2 linked regions of the Notamacropus eugenii genome follow. The protein of the gene in region 1 interacts with the protein of each later gene in a biochemical or structural test. Links are inferred from orthologs where the notes say so. Each region holds a gene or a part of one and is shown in the gene's direction. Other genes may lie near its edges.

Region 1 (8,084 bases):
GTAGAATGTAAAAAACTCAACTTTTATGATTCACATTTATGCAGACTTCTTTTAAAAAATTTAAAATCCCTTCAGGAGGGAAGGAGGACAGCACTGTGGTTATTTCATATTAAATACTGTACTGACTCTTCAGCCAGATGTAGGATGCCGGCCAGCGCCCCTCTGTGGCCATTTCCCATCACAGATCCCCAAGTCCTGGGTTTCCATCTGCCTTAATGCCCAAAGGGGGATTTTGTCTTCCACTGCTCTCAGGTCCAAGATCCCCACACTGACAAGTGTATCACTGAGTAATCACTCTCGAGACATCTAGTCACCACCAACATCCACTCTCCCCTTCCCTGAAACAGATACAGATAGGGACCTCTTTTATTTTCTTCTTTCCCTTCATTTCCTGTTTCCAGTCCTTCCTCTCAGTCCCTCCTCTTCCTCCTTCTCCTCTTTTCCCCCTCCAGTGTATAAACAATATGGCTCTAAAGAACCAAAACAGACTCCTCCTTGTAAGGCATTTAAGGTTCTGCCCTGGAGGTGTTGTGTTTAGCAATGTCAGGTCCTCAAAGGAAAAATAAAAGTTTAACTCACAATCCCAACTAAAGAAATAAATAAACCTCAGTAATCTTCAAATAGTCAATCCTCAATTCCTCTGTGCCCTAGGCTATAAATCCTCTCTTCCCCCTGTTCAGAAGTCTCATGTGAGGAGGAGGAATGGGGTGATGGGGTGTGGGGAGGAAAGAGAGAGAGAGAGACAGAGACAGAGACAGAGAGAGACAGAGAGAGAAAGGAGAGAGGAGAGAGAAGAGAGAGGGAGAGGGAGAGGGAAAGAGGAGAGAGAGAGAGAGAGAGAGAGAGAGAGAGAGACAGAGACAGAGACAGAGACAGAGACAGAGACAGAGACAGAGACAGAGACAGAGACAGAGAGGATGTGGCCATCTTCTTTTGTTCTTTGGCACCAAAAGAAGTTCGCTAATGGCCAATGGAATGAGAATAGTTTGTCATCTCTTTCCATCTCCCCTCTTCCAATTAGAAACTCAAGGAAAGAAAAAATAAAACATCCATGCAGACATTTCACGCTATGTATGTCCAAAGTGAGAATGAAACCCAATGAGAACAGTGGGCTGGAACCATGGGATTGTAAAAATAACTCTTGGATCTTGGATTATCCCAAGGCCTGCCCACTCTGACTGCCTTAAGGCAATGTCTCAATGACTATGGTAGCAGCTGATGAGCCATCAGAGAAGTCTGGGTATCAGACACGAAGCCAAGGAGCTAGCATTAAAAGAATCTCCCTTAATATTGACTGTACTACCCTTAACTTAGCCCTGGGAGGGTGGAAGGGGATGGAAGGTGAGGAAGGGAGCTGAGGATCTCTAGCTGTGTCCCTCCTGGACCCTGGGCAGGAAAATCAAGCACTCTCCTGGAGTGAGTTTGAGCTCTAGGGCTGGCATGAAGAACTGACCTCATTTCTCTTCCTCAAGGAGAGTGGGGCATGGTTCTAGGCATCCTAGGGACAGCCTGAACTTTGGACTCATCTCCGAGGCAGAGGAAGGAGTGACAGGGGCCTACCACCCCCTGGAAACTTGGCCTAATGGGCTGGCATCTCTGGTTCCCTTGACTGAACCAGAGATCAAATTCACCCCTGGTGTCAGAGCCAGGTAGTTTAGGAAAACAGTCGGCTGGACAAGAGCCCTAAGGAAGCCTTCTTCCTCCAGTTTTCAGGACTGACCCTGCTTCAAGGTTTCCAGGACACATTTCAGGTCCACAATGTACTTTTGTACCTCAAAGTTGTTGCCTGAAGAGCATCCCATATTTTGTGGAATCCAGGTTTAGACAATTTCAGAAGTTACCTAGGTCATGTCAAGAGTCTTCCTGAGACCTTACAGAAATTCATGACAAAAGGGTTTTGTCCCTCTGACAAGGCAGGTGGCAACCTCTTTATAATTTCAGAGGATCATATGCTTAGAGCTGGAAAGGACTTCAAAGGTCCCAAAGTCCACCCCCCTCTTTTTACAGATGAAGATCTGAAGTCCAGAGAGTAACTTGTCTAAGGTCATATAGAAAATAAATGACAAGCAGCAAAGTCTGAATCCAGGATATCTGACTACTGAACAGTGTTCTTTACCATCCTTTCTTTCCAGTATTTAGTCTTAGAGAATTGTCTGAGGCTCAGAGAGATTGGGTGACTTGCCCTGTGGTTAGACGGCTAATAAGTATCAAAGGTGAAATTTGAACCCAGGTTTTCTTGACTCCATGTCCATCATTCTATCCAGTAGGCCATTCTGCCTCTCTTTTAGAGTCTAAATTTTTGATTCTTAAGGGGATAACAATCCAGATCCTGAAAAATCCAGGTGTCTAGTTAATTTCCCTTCCTCCTCCTTCTATTTCCCTATTGTTGTTCAGTCCTGTCCAATCCTCTGTGATCTCACTTTGGGATTTTCTTGGCAAAGCCATTTCCTTCTCCAGTTCATTTTACAGATGAGAAAACTGAGGCAAACAGTGTTAAGTGACTTGCCCAAGGTCACACAACTAGTAAGTGTCTAAGACTGGATTTGAACTCAGGTCTTCTGATTTGAGGCTAGTGGTTCATCCACTGTGCTAGCTGTTTCCTATGCTTTACACTAATTCCTCATCTAGAGGATAGAGTGGAGAGAAAATTCACAGAATCCCAGATTATCTGGGCTGGAGGGGACCTTAGAGACCCTAATCCAATGTTCTAACTTTGAAGAAGAGCGAAATGAAACAGAGGCAGAGACAGAGAAGAAAAGAGAGAGACAGAGATGGGAAGAGAGAGAGAAACAGAGAGAGAGACTTATTCATGACCACATGGCAAATTAGGGTCAGGATCCTGTCTAGCACTTCAGTCTCCTGACTCCTGGTCCAATAATGAACATGCTCCTGGACTGAACCCTGCCCCTTTCCCACCACCTAGAATACCACACTTTTCCTTTCACCCTCCCACTGCCCAGAATGAAAGACTGGAAGTGAAATGACCAAGATGAGATCTGGAGATTATTTCTGGATCTAAAAGGGAACATATTCTGGGCAAGGTACAGATCTCCCTTCAGCCCCCTGGGGCAGACATAAAAAAGAAATCCACCCAGTGCTCTTCTCTAGGAAAGGTACCAGGCCACTCCACTGCTGATGTGCTTCTATAGACCAGATCTCTGGGTATCCGGGGCAAAGGTCATCACAGCAAAGAGGAGGCAGTGATAATCAGGAGATGTGGACTCCCAGTTCTGCTATGCATTTAATGAGTGAGCTTGGACCTTGAAAATTGTCTGAGCCTCAGTTTCTTTCTCTGTAAAAGGAAAGTTTTGGATTATATCATCTTTGAAAGAAAGAAAGAAGGAAGGCAAAAAGGAGAGAGTGAGGGAGCAGAGAAGAGACGGAAAGGGAAGGAAGGAACAAAGAAAAGATACTGGAGGTACTGCCTAGAGCATCAAGGAATAGAATGTTTGGCTTCAAGTCCAGAAAAGGTGAGATCATATTCCACTTCTGACATTTTCCAGCTGTGTGAGCACTAAACTTTTCTGAGCTGAGGTTTTCTTTTTGCAAAATGAGGGGCTGGGCTAGGTGACCTCTTACGTCCCCTCCAGCTTGGAATAGATGATTGCTTGTTTGTTGCTGAAATCATTGGGTGGGGACAGAAATGGTGGGAAATGAGAGTCAGGAATCAGGGATGCTAGGACCTAGCCTAAATGATGAAGAGCACCTCATGATCTTAGGGGTTATAGTATGCAGAATTGTAAGGAAGCCTAAGATCATCCATCCAGTCCAATCCCTTCATTTTACAAAGAAGGAAACTCCATACAGAAAGGGAGACGACTTTCCCAAAGTCACACAGCTAGTAAGAAACAAAACAGGTCTTCCAGTCCAGGTCCTCTTACCTGAAACTTGGTGATCTTTTCAACATACCACACTACTCAAGATCCCACAGCTCCGACATGCAAAGTCCTAAAAAAAAACACAGCTAGCGAATTGGAGTCAGGAGACCTAAGCTCAAATCTCAACGAAACCCAGTGCTTGGGACATAGTGAATGCTTCATAATTGCTTTTTCATTCAACCCTTCCGTTTGTTACTTGTGTGCAACCCTCAGCGAGCAAAACCCCCTCTCTCGGACTCATTTTCCTCCTCCCTGCAAAGAAGAACTTGGACTACATGACCCCAAAGGTCCTTTCCAAGCCTGATCCTGGGATAGGTTCTGTCTTTTAAAGCCAAGGTTCTTTTAACTACAGGGAACAGGGTAAGGTCCCCTCTAGCGACAGAAGAGTGGGTGAAAATGATGCCTCTCAGGACGGAAAACAAGCCAGGGGCCAAGGCAGCCCATCTGGCCCCAGAGAATCCGCTTGTCAGGGACTGCTCTGAACAAGAGATTCGCTCCTTTCCTCTCATTCCCAGGTTCCCTCCATTGTCCTCAGTTTTCACTGGGACTGCTTCCTTTCTTCATCAAAGAGCAAGGCAGCCCCCCAGCTTGGCTTGCAGAGCTGAGAGCAAGGGCCAGGCGCCTCGGGGGCTGGCCGCATAGCTAAAACCCGACGGGCAATAGGGCCCAGCGGTGGAGCCCCGAAACCGAGCAGGCTGCTCTGAAACTTCCAAACTTTTCACAGCTTGTTGCTTATTCATTCAGAGTGGGAAAGAGCCAGCCCGGCTGGCCCCAGACCCAAAGAGAGAGGGAGTAAGGGAGGGCGGGAGAAAGGAAAGGACGGAGGAGGGAGTCGGCCAGTCCCCCCCCACCCCCATCCCGCACGGGAGCCATGTAAAGCCCCTCCCGGTGGTGGTCCTGTCCTTGGGGCCAGACCTGCAGGGAGTGACTCCAACTCCAGCCCTGCTCCACACCGTACCCTGCCCTGCCCCAGACGGAGCCCCTGGGCTTGGCCAGCCTCGCTTCGGGCCACCCGCCGCTGCTTCTCCGCTCCTCGCCTAGCCTCGCCTGGCCTCACCATGCTGCTGTCCAGGCAACCCTCCCGCTCGGGACTGGCCGGGGATGGACAGCGCTAGAACCTCAGGGAGGAAAAGAGCTGCCCACAACGCTTTGGGGAAGGGAGGGACAGACTCATCGGGAGGTGGGGGACTCGGGAGAAGCGGCGTCTCTGCTGTGTGTGACCCACGCTGCTAGTCCAGTCCCCCCGGAGGCAGGAGACGAGACGGCGCAGAGATCATGGCCCGCGTCTCCTGGGAGCTCTGGGCGCTCCTAGGCTGCGGGGTCTTCCTCCTGACCCGCGGACAGCAGCCTCCTCAGCAGCAGAGTTCCGACGCCAGCCCCTGGAGGCAGATGATCCAGTGGGAGAACAACGGACGGGTGTATAGCCTCCTGAACTCGGGCTCCGAGTACCTGCCTCCTGGCACAGTGGTCCACGACGGCAGCGCCCAGGTACTTCTGGCCGGAGCCCAACAGACGACCGGCCGAAGGAGCCCGGGACGCCCCATCCGCAGGCAGGCCCCCTCACTGCCCGTAAGGGCTGGCTCGGACACCATCCGAGGCCAGGCCCGGCACCCTTTCGGCTTCGGCCAGGTGCCAGAAAACTGGCGGGAGGTGGCCGTCGGGGACAGCACCGGGATGGCCAGAGCCCGCACCTCCGTCTCCCGGCAACGCCAGGCGAGCTCCGCCTCCTCCTCCGTCTCATCAGCCTTGGGCTCAGCCTCAGCCTCCGCCTTCGCCCAGACCACCTACCGGCAGCCATCTTATCCCGCGCAGTTCCCCTACCCCCAGCCCCCTTTTGTCAGTCAGTACGAAACGTACGAGCAAGTACCTAGGGCCTATGAAGAGAGCTACGTGTATTACCGGAGCCCCACAGGCGGGCAGGGAGCCGGGGCAGCTGCAGTGGCCTCGGCTGGAGTCATCTACCCCTTCCAGCCTCGGCTGAGGTATGAAGAGTACGGGGAGGAGCAGACCCCGTATCAGCCTCAGGGCTTCTATCCAGCCCAGGAGATGCCCCTCATGCCAGTGCCCCAGCCCCAACCTCAGCCTTCTGACGGGCTGGACAGGAGGTATTCCCACAGTCTGTATCATGAGGGGACCACGAACTTTGATCAAGCTTACCAAGACACTTACAACTCAGTCCCTGGCCAGGTGGTGCCAGGCCAAGTGGCAGCTGCTCCTGACAGCCCGCAGGTTAACGGGGGCTCCTCCCCAGGCTTGGGACCAGGCTATGTGACTGATCCCCGCCTGGGCTGGCAATCACCCTATGCCAATGTCCCCCCGGAAACTTACATCCCACCGAGAGTAGTGGAGCCTCAGCCACCATTCCGGGTCCTGGAACCCTATGGGAGTGCCCCGAGGCCAGAATCCTATATGCCCATCAGGAGCTCGGAAGCTCCCCCATTAGGTGGGGACAGACAGGGCACCCAACAAGGCCGGGTCAGCGTGGGCAGTGTGTATAGGCCCAACCAGAATGGACGAGGTGAGTACTGAGCACCTCCTGGAGGGACCACACTTTAAAGGAATGGGCTGGGAGTTCCTTTTAATGATGTGTATAATATTGCCAAGAACACCTGTGCTGAAGGCAGAACAGCTGGGTCCAAATTGTGGTTGTTACTATTTAGTAGACAGAGATACTTGGGCAAGTCAATACACCTCAGTTTCTTCATCTGTAAAATGGGGATATCACTTGCCTTATCTACTTCTTAAGTATCAAACTAGATAAAGCCCATATAAAGTGCTATCTAAATGAAAGCTATTATCTGCCAATCCTAACCAATCAACAAGCATTTATGAAGCATTGTGTGCCAGACACTGTTAAAAGCTGGGGAGACAAACCTAAAACAATTCCTACCCTCAAGAACCTTTCATTCCACCTGGGAAACAATAAGTAGATATGCAACACACACAAGCATATATTTGCATGTATTCTTTAAATATATAGTGTATATATGTTATATATATGTATATATATACATATATATAAGGAGAGAGAGAGATTAATTTTGAGGAAGAAGACAGAAGCTAGGGGGATCAGGAAAAGTCTCACATAATCACTAATTCTCACTCTGTTCTGCTTGATTCTTCTCAGATTCCACTCTCCACTTTGGTACATCTCTCCCCTCCCCCCCAAAATCCCTCCCTTCTGGTAATTTTTAATCCATGGTATCCTTATGTCTCTTTGCTCCTCTACTTGACCTCTTCTTTGCTCAAATGTAAGCCCATGGAAAGGAGAGGGGAAGGAAATGAACGTTGCTTCTGGAATCAGAGGACCTGGGTTCTAAGTCTGTGTCTGAAGCTTACTGGTGTGTGACCTGGGATTTGTCATTTAATGTCCTTATCCTTTATCTGCAAAATGAGGGGGTTGGACCAGATGGCTTCTGAGGTCCCTTCTACCTCTATAGCTATGAAAATATTATAAGGGCTCACCTCTATCCCCCCACCCAGAATAAAGCTTGATAGTACAGGCAAGGAAAGATACAAGGCCATCTTGTCACCCCTCCCCTCCACACACACATAGAGAGATGGGGGAAGCTTTTAAAAAAAATATGACCTCACCTTTCAGGAAACATAACTATTGCAGCAAGCATTTATTAGACTCCTATCGTAGTTCCCTGAAGCTCAGTTTCCTCATCTGTAAGAAGGAGTGGTACAATCCCTTCTAGTGCTAATGACTCCTTGTACAAGGTGCTATACTAGACATTGGGGGTACAAATACAAAAAAATATATATCAGTTGCTCTCAAGGAGCTGACGTTATATGTTGGGGGCTAAGTGGATTTAACACATACACAGATAAGAAAATACAAAATGCAGATAGTATGATGTTGGCAGTGGCAAGCACTAACAAAAGGTAGATCAGAAAGGGGCTCATGTAAGAAGTGGTTCCTGATTAGAGTCTGGAAGAGATTTGGGGATTCCAAGAAGAGATACAAGTTCTGTTTGTACCCTAGGAAGACTGGGGACAAGATGAGTAGCTAGTCAGTTATACAAGCCCCTAAAGGTTTAAAGTCTGTTGGTCTACCTTTCATTGCCTTCCATTTAACTCCTTTTGAGGACTGCACCTGTGGCCATTGCTCTTAGGGGTTTGGGAACTGCCCACCTCTATTCAGCCAGAAGCCTCTGGCAGCCCCACATCTTTCAAGATAATTGGTCAGTGCCTTTAACCCAT
Region 2 (8,260 bases), on another chromosome or scaffold:
TTGCAAATAAATATGAGAAGGCAAAAACTGAAAAGAAACTCTTTACAGATCATAACGAAAATGGCAATTAGTACAGGCAGCACAAACAATATACAGACACAAATGGAAACTTAATGAAATCCTAAATAATTATTGAGTCAAAAAATTGCTGAAATAATTTTTTTGAAAGAAAATAATGGTAAAATAACATGAAAATTTCTGGGATGCAACTAAAACAATCCTCAGGAGAAAATTTATCTCTAAAAACATACATTAACAAAATGAAAAACAAACTAAATACACATATTAAAAAATTAGCCAATAAATAACTCTCCCCCCAAAAAAATTAAAATAAGAAATATGGAAAAGTAGTGGAGAACTAAACTGGAAATAGAAAAAGACATTAGAAATGATAAGACTAAAACCTAGTTCTTAAAAGCTAACAAAATTAGTAAGCTTTAGCAGACCTGTTATAAAAAAGGGCAGAAAATCAAATCAACAAAATAGCAAATGAATAAGGTGATACCACAACAAAACTAGAGGAAATAAAAAGAATTCTTAGAACCTACTATGAACAGTTATATGCTACCAAAACTGAAAACACAAAAGAAATAGAGGAATACTTTTAGAAATATAAAATACCTAAGTAACCAACTAGAGATCTTCTATAATCCAATCTGAGAAAAGAGAAATAAAATGAGTAATAAAGGGCCTACCAAAGGAGAATAGTCCTAGTAGATTCACAGGATAATTCAAACTTCTAAAGAACAACTAGTTTTAATATCATAAATTAACTTAATTAATTTAATACCATACAAAGTATTCTCAAAAATTGAGAAATTGTTTTATCAGACTCTTTTTGGGATGAATATGGCCTTGATTCCTAAATGAGGGAAAGATAAAGCAAATAAGAACCATGAACTGATGTCACTACTGAATATTAATTAAAGACATTTCAAGTCCTGTCAAACAAAACATACATCACCATAATCATACAAAGTATAAAAACATCCAAAACCACACGATTATCTCAAGTAACAGAGATTATTGTAATTATAATTACAGTCACATAATTATAATTAATTATCTCAATACTTTGCCTTTGACAAAGTACAATATTCATTTCATGCTACAAATCCTATGAAATATAGGCATAGTGGGATTTTTTGTTAATATCAGGAAATGTATGTGAAATCTAAAAAGATCGGATCCACTAGAAACTTCTACAAGAAATACAGGAATAAAGCAAGCATGCTCAGTTTTTCTGCTGTTATTTGACATAGTTCTGGAAATGACAGCAACAGCAATAAATCAAGAGAAAGAAGTTAAAGGAGAAAAGATAGGCAAAAAAAGAGTTATAAAATGATTCCAATTTGCTAACGACACTATGGTTTATTTAGAAAATTCTAGGTGAACAGCAAAGATTTCAATTGAAACAATAGTTTCAAAGTTTCTAGCTGCAAAAATAACAGTATTTCTATATAACAACCCAAAAATAACATTTCTATATTATAACATCAAAATGAAAGGTAAATACCGTTCAAAATAACTACAAAAGCACAAAATACCTGGAGCTCAATCTATCAAAGTATACAAAATACCTGTTTGTACTCAATTGCAAAATATCCGTTATGGAAATAAAGAAGAACCTAAATATTTGGAAAACTATTCAATGATCATGGTTGGACTGTGCCAATATAATAAAAATGACAGTTAAAAGTTATAATTTTCAGAGAGAAAAAAAGAAACTTGATTACTTTATTATATATTTAAAAGAAATAACAGGTTATACATAAAAGATTTGTATTTTCAAGTGATTTTTTTATTCTGCTAAATTATGGAAATGCTTATCTTAGGTTTACAAATTAAAAATAAATCAAATTTTAAGAAAATTATAGTTTTAATACTATACCAATCAAACTATCAAAAGGATATTTTACAGAGCTTGATAAAATTATCTCAGTTCATTTGGAGAAACAAAATATCTAGACTATAAAGGAAAATAATGAGGAAAAAAGGTAGGGATGAATAGGGGAGTGCAAACTCTATTATAGCCTGTCAGTTATCAAAACCAGTTGGTAATGGTTTAAAAAAAATAAGGAAGTAGATCAGTGGATGGACTAGGCAAGGAAAGATGAAAAGAAATAGAACTCAATGACCCGATGTTCAATGAACTAGAAAACATAAATTAGAAAAGAACTTATTAGATAAAAACTTTTGGGAAAACTAGAAAGTTGTCTGGCAGAAAATAGAATTAGACCAACACCATTCCATCACATTCCACAATGCATTTTAAATGGATAGATTACCTTAAGATTAAAAAACCATACATAAAAAATGAGAAGTAGATCATATATGTTTTCCACAGGTAGAAGATGTATTTTTAAACCAACAGTTGATAGAAATAACTATACAAGATAAATATATGAAACTTAAAAGCTTCCACGCGAACAAGATGAATGCATGTAGAATAAGCAGTTGAACTGGGGGGGGGGGCAGAGGGATCTCTATCAAATTTGTCTGATAAAGATATACAGACTACCAACACACATGCACATATATTGTGGTACATAAGTATAAAGAAATTTTACTGTGCTGTAAGAAATGATGACTAATGAATACTGGAAAGCATGGAAAGACTTACATGATTAAACAAGTAGCAAAATATACTGTCCAAAATAACAATATACACAATAACTGCAATGACATAAATGGAAATAACAGCCACAGAACTATCAAAAACAGATGTTTAAAAATTACAAAGGTCAAGCTCAGTTCCAAAGAAGTAACATGTGAAGACACCCCCATTGCCCTCTCTCCCTGGGACAGCATGCAATCTGATGATTTCTAGACATATATTCTTATTAAGCACATTTTCACATTAGTCATTTTGCATAAAGTTATTAAAATGAATGGGGGAAATCATGAGAAAAAACAAACTAAAACAAAACATAACACAGGAGAAAATGTTCTGCTTCATTCTGCATTCCAATTCCATAGTTCTTTCTCTGGATGTGGATGGCATTTTGCCTGAAGAGTCCATTGGGAAGTTTTTAGGTCCTTCCATTGCTGTGAAGGGCTAAGTCTACCAGAAAAATTCCTCACACACTGTGGTTGGTACTATGTACAATGATCTCCTGGTTCTGCCCCTTTCACTCAGCATCAGTTGATGTAAGTCCTTCCAGGCCTCTCTGAAGTCTTCCTGTTCGTCATTTGTTATAGCGCAGTAGTATTCATTTCATTCATATACCACAACTTGTTCAGTCATTCCCCAATTGATGGGCATCCCCTCAATTTCTATGCTTTCCTAACCTTTGCATACTCTCCGTGACACTGACCTCCTTGCTCTTCCTCAAACAAGACCTTCCATCTTTTGATTCCAGTTATTTTCACTGACTTTGTCCAATGCCTGGAATACTCTCCCTCTTCATTTCTGCCTTCTGGTGAGCTTGTCTTTAAGTCCCAGTTGAACTCCCACCTTTCCTGGTCTCCCATAATTCTAGTGCCTTCTCTCTGATGATTCTTTCCAATGCATCCTGCATATATCTTGTTCCTACATAGTTGTTTGTGTATTGTCTCTCCCATTAGTCTGTGAGCTTCTTGAGATTGGTACTCTTTTTTTTTTTTTTGCCTTTTTTTGTATCTCCAGTGCTTAGCATAGTGCCAGACAGACTGTGCTTTATAACTGTTATTGACCATTGACTGAAATGTAAGGTATTTTGAAAGCAGAATTACCTTACTGAGAGCATCCTCATATCTCATGCCTGCTTCTTTTTCTCACATCCTCCTATTATTTAAGAAAAGCAGGGTAGTATAATGAAGAAAACACTGAATTTGGGAGGCTGAATCCCCCTTTTGCCATTGATTATGTATGTAACCTTGGGGAAGTCACTTTCTCTGGCCTCAGTTTCTTCATCTGTAAAAGAAGGGGTTCAACTGGGCAATCTCTTCCTTCCCACTTTAAATCTACTATGATCCATGACCTTTTTTTAAAGCAAAATCATGAACCAGCTGTAAAGGGATGCTAGAAAGATTAAAGTTAGAAATTTGCTGTTCAAAAGTTGAAGTGAAGGGTTAGAACCCTGTCTTTTTAATTTTACTAGCCATTGGTATATGATCTTCCTTATGGCATTTCTTTTGGCAAATATTCATCCCTTCTATCTTTTTATCTCTAAATCTTCACTTAATCTGTGCTAATTTCTAATAATAAATCAAGCGCAGTGGTCATTTGTAGCTGTATTCTACAAGTTTCTATTCTCCCGAAAAAGGTTAAAAACTTTTCTTCAAATGCCAATGACCTGGAGGGCTAAATCTTCATAACTCCCTCTCATCCCCTGACTATCCGAGGCCTCTGCAAAACTCTGGGATGTTGTAGCTGGGAAGGAAACTAAAGGGTGAACGTACCCCCGTGTTCCCACCTCCCTCCATGCACTTGATAAGTAGTCCTCGCCAAGAAAGATGCTCTCTGCAGAGTGTGTGTGTTTGCTTGCTAGAATCCAGGAGGAGAGGCTTTCCTTCGAGCTCTGAGACTTTCGTCCTGGCAGACGCCCCAAGATTGTTGTGAGGAGTCTAGCCAGTTGGTGAGCTCTCTAATCTGAACCAGCTGTGTCCAGACTGAGGCTCCATTTGCATTGTTTAACATACTTAGAAAATGAAGTGTTCATTTTTAACATTCCTCCTCCAATTGGTTTAATGCTGAATTACTGAGAAGGACTAAGCAAAACCAGGTGCTTTCTCTGTACTCACTCCAGTGCCTCAGGAGGCTCAGACCCTTACTCTGCCCGCTTCACTACTTGCTGTACTGGAATATCATTAAAACAAGAATCAAAGGGCAGAGAGAAGGTTGAAGTTCAAGAAACGCCTTTGAGTAGTAGGCACTGGGATCTTTTTTTTCCCCTTTCTTTCTTTTTCCACCCACCTCCTTTTTTTCTTCTCCACACATCTGGGACATGCCAGGATTAAAGAGGTAGGTTCTTTGTACGGAACTTCTTTCTTCAGGGATTGGAAAGACTTGCTCTATAGCCTGCTGTGTGGAAAATGTCTATGGCTGAGGTTCAATCTGTGTCAGGACACTGGAAAAGAGATTTGCTAGTGATGCAACAAGATTGCTAATTATAAAAATGTGCTGTTCAGTAATTTCCATCTTGAAGATCTTTTCTGGGGGGGGGGGGGAGGGTGGGAGGAAGGGAAGGGGAGGGACAAGGAGTGGTGTTGTATAATAGTTTTAGAAGTCACATTGTCTGTCCCAGGACTGCAGAATTCTACTGCTCCAACGCCAGTGCTTTCATCTAAAAAACACTTTCACAGACCGGCAGCAGCTTTTTTTTACCCAAGCTGATTTACCCAAAAAAAATCACTGATTTGAGAGACCAAGCTTAAGTTTACTAGCAATCTTCACAGAAAAGAATTGCTATTTTGTATGTGTCATCTGCTGGACAAAGCATCGTGCCTGGCTGAACACATTTACACTCTTGTGCCGGATTGTACTGTATGTCTGTGTGTGATTCGCAAAGGGAATGAGACCCAGAAGTATAAAGCCAATGAGAAGTGCGGATTGCAGACAAAAGTACATGTAAGCAAACTTTATGTTGTTCATTAGGGAAAATTAAGAGACAGATAAGTGATTCTTAAAATTAATGACTAAGAGAGTGACAGCTCCGGGATTCTTGTCTAGTAAAAGCCTGTAGATTTCTTTAAATCAATGGATTTCAGTGTGTGTGTGTGTGTGTGTGTGTGTGTGTGTGTGTGTGTGTGTGTGTGTGTGTGTGTGTTGAACTAAAACAAGCCTGGGATCATCTCTTCTGACAGCAAGCAATGCCATTTGATAGGTCCCTCCTCCCCTTTCCTTTTCTTTAGGGGAAAGGCATGGAATGGATGCTTCACCTGCTTTTTTAGAAAGTATCCTGGATTGTGAGAATGAGAATGAGAAGTTGTAATCTAGCCATACATCTGACGACATATATTTTTTTCTCATTCTCTTTTTGATTGCTTTGATTTTGGTTGTCCAGAAGAGCAGAATGTAGATTCAGTGTCACAGAAGTTATTCGTAGGCAAGAAGTTTTGCTAATGGCATTTTGGGGCTCCTTCGTAATTGTAAAAACTTTTTGCTACTGATTGAAACTTTTTTGACTCCCAGAACTTGCCTGTCACTCTGCCAAGGGTGAGAGCCTTTGTCTGGGTGCCTTGATCTGCTCTGAAGTTTGAGGGGAGACTGTAGCTGGTGAATATCTCTAGCCCAAAGGTCGGAAGAATGGGTGTTAAAATAGATTTTGTACCAGCTCTTGAAGGTACTCAGACTACTCAGCCTCCAATATAAATGAAAAGTGGTTTAATAACTAACTGAAAGGAAACTTCATGAGGAAACAGGAAAACATTGAAATTCATAATAAACAGGCTGGAAAATAAATTTGTTGTTGCTCTTTTTAAAAAAAAGATATAAATTTAGTTTTTGTGAATTAAAAAAAGTCCACTACCACCACAACAAAAAAACTCAAAACAAAACAGCTCTGGGATGTAGCTATGAACTTTATAAGGTTAGAACAGTCTCCAATAATATGAAACCTGGCTAATGCTGCCTTATATATTAAATAGCTAAGAAACCATTGGAATTTCAGAGTATTTCTTTATTTGGGGAGAGTGATCTTGCTTAGATGAAGAAACTGGGAATTATGAGTCCTGACTTTGCTGTCTTTGAATAATGGTCAAATTACTTTATTTTTTTTCAACTTACCCAAAGAATAAATAGACAAAGTCATATGGGTCACAGAATAAGTATGTGGAGGTCAGGTCTGCATCTAAAGAGAATTTGTTGATTGAATAATAGTTTTTCAAAAGAAGAAATGAATGAATTATCCAATTTAGACAAACACATCATCAGTCTAGACAGTTCAGTTTTGCCTTTCTTCTGATTGGTTGACTGAGTTATTCACATTCATTGAATATTTGATCAACCTCCCTATTAACTGTGAAGAGTTAAATTTGAGGTCACAGAACATTAAACTTAGGCAGTATTTTCTAATGTCCCCACTACTGGTTGATGGAAGACACTGATAGGTGTATCTAGGCTAGATGAACATTTATATTAAATGACACTGGCATCAACTTCATCTAGCATTTTGCTCTTTGGAACTTCAAACATTTCCCATTGATCATCTCATTTGTTCTGATCTTTTGAGGTAGGTCACAAGGATCATCATCTATACACACATTTATAATAAAAAATTTTCTAAACTCAAGCATTACTGTCTCTGTTTGCATTCAAAGTAAAAACTTGGTAAATGCTTAATTTGCATCTGACAGTCCTCCCTGTTTCTCTAGCCTCTATAGCACAAAATGCTATTTTTGATTATAAAAAAATCTTATTTGAATGAGAGGCCTCATGGTGAGGGGGCTAGATATCCAACTGCAGAGTGAGGAAAATCTGGTTCAAGACTCCACTTTGAAACATACTACCTGTGTAACCCAGGGCAAGTCACTTAATTACTGCTAAGATAATATATTATGGAACATTTATCAATTTGCATTGGTAAAAGAAATTTTCTTCTTTAGGAGTTTTCAACTTCAGTGAAATCATAGATCTGGACCTTCCTCCTCAAAGTATTGTGTTATAACACATTCATCTAGTACTTAGACATTTGTATATATAAAATATTTATGTTTGATTTCTCATCCCTGTTTAGGATACTGACTGTTTCCATTCTGACTCTTTGTCTCACAAGTCCTGGACATGCACAGGTGAGAATGAACCTTGACCTTCTTCCTCCTCTCCCACAAGTTTTTTGAATTATAAAATATTAGAGGTAGGAGACACTTGAGAGATAAAAAAGTCCAAATACTGAATCTGAGGAGCTATAATATGCATCTGTGGAGGGAGTATTCAAATCTGTGTAGAAATATAGATCCTTGAAGTATTGAAATATGGATTCAGCAATTCAATAAGCATTTAAGTTTCCAGGGTATGTAGGGCACTGTACTAGGCACTAAGGAACATACAAAACTTAGGTAAGACATAGTCTTTACTGATATCGAGTGTATATTCTAGTAGGGAGATTGTGACATACAAAAAGTATACACAAAATACAGGTAGATTGAAAAATAAAATACATTGTCTGTAAGAAAGGTAGAAGTAAAATACCATATGAAGTATTCGGGTGGTGGTGGCTAGAGGGGTCATTACAGATTCACAAATGAGGAAAGAATTCCTGGAAGAGTTCACGTGAGTTAGGTAGATAGTAATTGAAGTGGATGGGAAGGGAATTCTAGGCATAGAGAATACTTCAAG

Evidence for each region. The genes of interacting proteins can lie anywhere in the genome.
Region 2: the proteins of LOXL1 (region 1) and FBLN5 form a complex in vitro, tested with the Homo sapiens proteins (2 studies listed by BioGRID and IntAct). The link is inferred for Notamacropus eugenii from reciprocal best matches to the Homo sapiens genes LOXL1 and FBLN5.

What each region holds. Positions count from the first base shown.
Region 1 is NC_092872.1:242,600,136-242,608,219, reverse strand, and holds the start of LOXL1 (lysyl oxidase homolog 1), read left to right. Parts: upstream 1-4,597; 5' UTR 4,598-5,153; coding exon 5,154-6,396; intron 6,397-8,084. UniProt on the Homo sapiens protein: Catalyzes the oxidative deamination of lysine and hydroxylysine residues in collagen and elastin, resulting in the formation of covalent cross-linkages, and the stabilization of collagen and elastin fibers.
Region 2 is NC_092878.1:38,570,636-38,578,895, forward strand, and holds the start of FBLN5 (fibulin-5), read left to right. Parts: upstream 1-4,708; 5' UTR 4,709-4,928; coding exon of another isoform or gene 4,929-4,945; intron 4,946-5,228; 5' UTR 5,229-5,495; coding exon 5,496-5,551; intron 5,552-7,658; coding exon 7,659-7,713; intron 7,714-8,260. UniProt on the Homo sapiens protein: Essential for elastic fiber formation, is involved in the assembly of continuous elastin (ELN) polymer and promotes the interaction of microfibrils and ELN. Stabilizes and organizes elastic fibers in the skin, lung and vasculature.